Rhinolophus ferrumequinum: one gene and its partner. The protein of the gene in region 2 interacts with the protein of the main gene of each other region in a pairwise test. Links are inferred from orthologs where the notes say so. Each region holds a gene or a part of one and is shown on either strand. Other genes may lie near its edges. The genes, in order: AHSP and ZC3H12A.

The links.
Region 1: the proteins of ZC3H12A (region 2) and AHSP interact in binary tests that used the Homo sapiens proteins (3 or more experiments, as listed by UniProt). The two-hybrid records come from large-scale screens. The link is inferred for Rhinolophus ferrumequinum from reciprocal best matches to the Homo sapiens genes ZC3H12A and AHSP.

The regions. Positions count from the first base shown.
Region 1 is NW_022680357.1:35,719-38,197, forward strand, and holds AHSP (alpha-hemoglobin-stabilizing protein), read right to left. Parts: upstream 1,557-2,479; 5' UTR 1,442-1,556; intron 1,277-1,441; 5' UTR 1,273-1,276; coding exon 1,198-1,272; intron 982-1,197; coding exon 778-981; 3' UTR 632-777; downstream 1-631. UniProt on the Homo sapiens protein: Acts as a chaperone to prevent the harmful aggregation of alpha-hemoglobin during normal erythroid cell development. Specifically protects free alpha-hemoglobin from precipitation.
Region 2 is NC_046292.1:26,175,534-26,179,446, forward strand, and holds the start of ZC3H12A (endoribonuclease ZC3H12A), read left to right. Parts: upstream 1-1,270; 5' UTR 1,271-1,395; intron 1,396-2,208; 5' UTR 2,209-2,288; coding exon 2,289-2,683; intron 2,684-3,913. UniProt on the Homo sapiens protein: Endoribonuclease involved in various biological functions such as cellular inflammatory response and immune homeostasis, glial differentiation of neuroprogenitor cells, cell death of cardiomyocytes, adipogenesis and angiogenesis.

The DNA of each region.
Region 1 (2,479 bases), on a different chromosome or scaffold from region 2:
ACAGCCGGCCTGGGTCGTGGGCGTGGGGTCAGCCCCCACCTACGCGGGCGGCGCGGGCGGCAGCCGGACCGCTGCGCAGAGGAGGCGGCGATCGGCTTCCGACCGCGGGTCCCAGGCAGCCCGACAGCAGCCCGGGCCCCGCACTCGCAGCCGGCGTGAAAGTTCCCCGCGCGCTCGCTGCCAACATCCACCGGTAGCTGCAGCCACCCGCAGCCGCAGGACCGCAGGCGCGGGGCGGAGGAGGCCAGGCGCCCGGCGGACGCAGAGGACGGAGAGGCGGGGAGGGCAGCGACCGGGGCGCCCCAGCCTGCGGTGACCCGCGCTTGTCGGCCCTGCGGCCGCTGCTGTTCCAGGCTCGCAACGAAGCAGTGACACCCGTAGGCCGCGGCAGAGAAGCCCCGGGCCCAGAGAGCCCGAGCACCCCCACCCAGGGAGTCCTCCTGGGGCGCCCGGGTCCCACCGGTCAGCCCCGCGATGCAAGGGGCCACCTTGCCCTCTCTCTGCGCCCTGGTTAGGAAGGGGCACAGGGCTGAGATGGAGACTCCAGAGGCCAGAGCCGCTTTTACAGGCGGTCTGAAGGAAAAGGGACCAAGTCAGGGACAGACAATCAAAGAGCCAGGAAGACCAGCAATACCAGTGTGGGCCTTTATTGGGGTGTCGAGGTGGATAACACCAAGAAGGCGCAGAGCCTGAGGACTTGAAGGGTTCAGAGGCAGGATTTCAGGGTTTCTCGCAGACGCAGGCCTAGCTCTCTGGGCCAGGAGAAAAGCTTGGCGCTTACAGAGACTTCAGGAAGGCCTTATACTTGTCCAGGAAAGGGGCGCACAACGTTCTCAGCTGTTGCCGCAGCTCCTGCACAGCCCTGTCCCGCTCCTGCTCTTCTCCCACCACATGTTGCCTGTAATAGTTGACATAGAAGTTCACCCAGTCGTCCAGTACAGTCACCATGGCTTCTTCAGTGATTGGAGGGTCAGTGAAGACCTGGGGGGTGGGGAGGGTGGATAGTGTGGTCAGCAGTGTCATTCAGGAATAACCCACAAACCCGGACACCCTCTTCTCTCTGTATTCCCTGTCTCTAGTTGTTTCTATCAATTCCACCATTACTCTCTCTGCTCCGAATTATCCTCCCTTCTCTGCCCTCACCCACCACCATCTACCACCCCAGGCCTGTCCTTTGGAATAGAATGCCTGGCTTACCTGCTGATTCAGCAAAACATTAAATTCCTTCATTCCTGTGGAAATGAGATCTTTATTAGCCTGAAGAAGCGCCATCTGCCTGTGCAGAGAAAAACAATTTAAGTATCCTTTCCCCTCATCCCTGGGTATTTCCCCCAGTTCCCCACTCCCCCTAAAGATTCCTGGTAACCTGCAGGACGACTTCCCTCAGATACCTTTCAAACCCCGCCCTGATTTGAAACCACCTTCTACCAGGTTGGCTCACCTTCAGGTCGCAAGGTGCTTTCACCCACACTTTTCAGGATATGTATGTCCTTCTGTGCCAAGCTAGATGTAGGTGAGGAGTAAAGTGTCAGCCTCAGAGGGAAACGCCCTGCATCAGGGTCTGAAGGCGGGTGATAGGTCAAGCATGGGAGGGGAAAGGAGGGAGAGGCTTCCCTGAAGTTAGAAAGATAGCAAGGCTGGGAAACAACAGATAAGTGGCGAGACGCGGAGAACCAGACCAGGGACAGACCCTTGCCCTCTGCCCCGCACCCCACCATCCAGGCACCAAACGCTAACAAAACAAACATTACCTGACCCCATTTCATGACAGGCACTTTTAAATCATCACTACATTGTGATGGCAATTATTGTCCCAACACCTAGGTGATATATTAATAACAGTTTACATTATCTTTATCATTTATGCCAGGCACTGTTTCAAGCATCTGTTAAAGTATTTATCCTTATAAAATACCCTATTACGCAAGCAGTCACATTTTGCAAACGAGCCATCTGTAAGACATGAGGACTGAACTCCACCAGGCTGTGCTTTGCAAGGAGACATATTTACCTTGTTCTCTAATATATCATCAGGTATTCGACAAAACAGAAACATCTTTTTAAGTAGTTCCCTACTGTTTTCCAAATTTCAGAATTATCATGTACTGAGATACATGAAACAATACAAAAAAGGTGTATTTTATACTCAGAAAAGGTGATCATCTTTGCTCCCTCCCCCTACAAAGTAACCAGCATTAAAGATTTATTTCCTGTCACATCTTTCAGCACTCAAAAACCAACATTCATAGGCACCTATTAGACGTTTGTTGATTTGCTTTTTTGTTTATAGCATTTTCTTAGTTAACATATAGCAAAATTGATCTCTGTTTGGTGTGCAATTTATGAATTTTAATTCATAGATTCGTGTAACTACTACCACAGTCAGCATATAGAACATTTCCGTCGCCCCCAAAACTCCTTCATGTTCTCCCCTTGTAGTCACACCCAGTACCAGCCCTAAACCCTGCCAAGTGCTCAT
Region 2 (3,913 bases):
ATGAATAGACTATACGGTGTCTTTTACAATAAACAATTCTTAGGTACAACACTAATACCAACCTTACAAGATACTACCTATGATAAGGCGGAGAAAATGTAAGTAAAGTATTGGCTCACACAGGATACACTTGGTATTGAGTGCTTTGGCTCCCTGGGCCTCAGTTTTCCCATTTGCAAAGTGAGCTGGTAGCACTGCCAAAAACTGGTCGTTTAGCTTGTGGGTTCTCTGTTCCGTTTGTACACACACACACTTGAGCGCAGGTCCCAGGCCTCACCCTTCCACCAGAAGAGTCTCCCCTCTTCCCTAGGTCACTGGTGGTTTCAAAGTGGTAAAGGTGGCTGGCAGCTGATGCCCTGGAATGGGAGCTCTTGGTCCTGGTTCCAAGTCTTTCCAGCTGGGGCAATTAGCCTTTTCTGAATTTCTCAAGGGTAAAATGGGCATAATAACCTCTGTCTTCTTCCTCACCTAAGCCCACGGGTACATATTGTAAAGTGCTGTGCTCAGTGTGGGATCATGACTGGTTGACCTGGGAACCTAAAAGCATTCTTGTGGAGGGGTGGGTGGCCTCTGTGAGTTTCAGAGCTGTGTAAGACAGCATGCTGTGAAAACTCACATGGCGACTGGTGTAAACGCACGTTCTTTGCCTGGTTTTCCGCCTCCTAATTGTGTATCTGCTAGTTCTACGTACCTATCTTTCTATCCTGGTAAGGTCCTCATTTCAGAAAACTCCTGGCCCTGAGTGCAGCTCAGGGAATCTGTGTACCTGCTGTATGTAGTCACGGTGTACCTGTTGAGTGTTCCTGTCTCGATCTGAAAAGTGCCTGTCTGAGCGTACCTGTCTTTATGACTAAGAACCTACCTCCAACGGTGAGTAGACCATCCTGTGTACCTGATTCACTCAATGCGTCTCTGACTGTACCTTAGTCAGTCGTGGAGTACTTGTCAAGTATCTGAACGTACGTGGCTGTACCTGTCCTTGCATCTATGTACGCATCTCAGTCAGTCGTGTCTGGTTCAGCCTGTGCTTACCTTCCGCATGCGGGCCGTGCACTCCCGCCCTCCTCATCTCCTCTCCGCCAGGGCCTGGAGACCTACGGAAGGGGCTGCCTCCCCTGGTCCCCCGCCCCTATTCCCGGCGGGGCCCTGAACGCACAGCTGCGCGGGGGCGGGGCAGGGGCGGGGCAAGGCCGAAGGCGGGGCGGTGGGGCGGAGCAGGAAGGGGCGGTGGCCGCCCCGCCCCCTGGGTCGACTTGCTCCTCCCCTGCCCGGCTTCCGCGTCAAGGTCCTTAACGCAAGCTCTCCGCCCACCGCCCCGTATAAAGGCGCCGCGGGCCTTGCTCCTGGGACTCGGCCCCATGGAGACGCCACCTGCTGCGGCCGGCGCACGGCGGGGTGAGTTGCGCGCGGTGGTGGGGCAGGGGCGAGGGCCTCAGACTGGGCAGAGGAGGGGGCGGGGAGGGCTGCGGCTGGATACACCAGACGAGGAGGGACGTAGGGCCGATCCTCTCCGGCCTTGCCTATCCTCAGACCCCTTCCAACTTAGCCCAAGTTGAAGGAACCTAGGGGAAGGGGTACCAAGCTCCGGAGCTCGGAGCTGGGACAGCCTCCGCGTCACCGAGGTAGGCGGCCAACCAGAGTTTCCCAGCAACTTTTCTCGCCTGTGGGTCTCCCCGGAAAGTTCTCCTCCCCCGGTCCAGGAATCTGGCCACCGGCCCTGCGCCTCCTGGGCCTGGCTCCGTGAGCAGGGCGGGCAGGCAGAGGCGATGGCCTCAGTGGGGAAGCCCCCGCCCCCCACACACACAGACGCAACGCACTTCCAGCCCGGGGTTTCCATCCGAGCGCCCCGCCCCGCAGCTGTGGGAGTGCGGCGAGGTTCTCTGAGACCTCCCGAGATTTGTGGGTCCCCAGAGTTGTTGTGGGACTGCGCTTGGGATAGAGATGGAGTCAGACTTCCTAAGTTCAAATCCTTTCGTCACCAGCCAACAGCCGGATGACCTTGAGCAAGTTCTTAATGGCTGTGGCTCAGTTTCATCCTTTGTACCATGCAAACGATGATCCCTAGCTGGGAGCACTTTTGAGAGGACTAACAGAGGTAACACAGGAAGATGGATTTGCACAGTGTCACCAGTGTTGCCTCATCCTGTTGGGTGGGGCGGATGGGAGAGAGCCATTCCCCATCCCTAATCCTCGTGGTTCTTCTACAAGGAGCTGTGACAGGTGCCTTCCACCAGTCTGAGTTGTGAGTGGCCGGTGGAGAGAGGCCCACCCAGGAAGCCAGCCCCGCCATGAGTCTGTGGGAACTTGAAGACAGTCACAGCTACCAAGGTACCCCCAGGTCGGCCCAGGAGCCCCCTGCTGAGGAAGCAGCCACTACCGAGCTGCAGATGAAGGTGGACTTCTTCAGGAAGCTGGGCTACTCATCTGCTGAGATCCACAGCGTCCTGCAGAAGCTGGGGGTCCAGGCGGACACCAACACAGTGCTGGGCGAGCTGTTGAAACATGGGTCAGCAGCTGAGCGGGAGCGCCAGGCCTCACCAGACCCCTGCCCTCAGCCCCCTCTGGTCCCCCGAGGTGGGGGCACCCCTAAGGCTCCCATCCTGGAACCCTCAACCCCAAAGGAGGACAAGGAGAGCAGTGACCTAAGGCCGGTGGTCATCGACGGGAGCAACGTGGCCATGAGGTACGTGTCACTTCTGTGGCCAAGATGTGGCCAGGAATGGTGGGTCTCTGCACCTCGGGTAGAGGGGCCTTCGGAAAGGAGTTGACCTCTTCTCACACACTAGTCTAGAGGAAGGAAAAGCTCCTTATTGAGGCCCTACTGCGTGCCAGCAGGCTCCTGTCATCCTTGGAAGTGGGTTGGCTAGGAATGTTTTAGGGATGAGAACGGGGGCTCAAAGACTTGCTCAGGGTCACACTCCTGGGGAGCGGTTGAGCAAGGATTGCAACTCGGGTCCTCTGTCTCCAGAGCTCCCCTTATGCCCTTTGTCTCTCCCCAAGGGCAAGCACTCTCTGTTCTTTCCTGTGACATGAAGCAGTACAGTGGAAGGGATCAGACTGGGCTCCCGCTCACTCCTAGAGGAGCCAGGAGTCACCTCCTCTCTGAGCCTGCGTTCCTCCTCCATCTGTTAAGACAGGGCTAACCCAGCCCCCGGTTGTGAGGAGTGAATGCAGTGCCTGCAGAGGAACTGCTCAGGAAACAGTAATAGTAGTTGTGAGTACAGTTATTCAGGGGCTGGGGCTTCTGAGGCCTATCTCAGACTTGGGCTCGCATGGAAGCAGGCCCAGCTATGGAGGCCTTCGTAGTTGTGACCAAGCGTGACCTCGAGGACCTGGCTCTGTGTGGGAGATATAAACGGGTGGCCTAATGCTTTGGTGTCAGGTGAACTGTGACTTGGGTCCATTCTGATTTGGCTAGAGCCACCTGGGCTGGACTGGGCTCTGGGAGCTCCCTAGGGCCAGAGCCAGGACCCAATCCCAGTACTCCTCCCCCCATGCTTTAACAGAATGGGGTGGGATGGGGACAGGGTTGCTCCTGACCCCAGACAGCCCAGACCCCTGTTCAGTCCAGGCTCTGCCCTCCAGCCTTCTTTCTCTCAGTCCCTCTAAGGTGGGCTGGTGAGTCAGGCCTGGCATATCATTCACAAGGAAAAGTTCCTGTGGGCATGGACAGAGAGACTCCAGGCACAGAGAGTGGAGTGCTCCTTCACTTTCTGCTCTCCCGGATCTGCCTGGTGGGCTGCTTGAGGCCCCGAGGCCCTTGGCCCCCTCCACCCCTCCACCTCTCCCACTCCCTGCCCAGCTGGGCCAAGTCAGAGCTGTCTGGCTCGTCTTGTCCCAGTTTAGCCACCTATATGTAAGTCAGTATTCCCATCTCTGAAATGGGCTGAGCCTGGGTGGAAAGGTGGGTAAA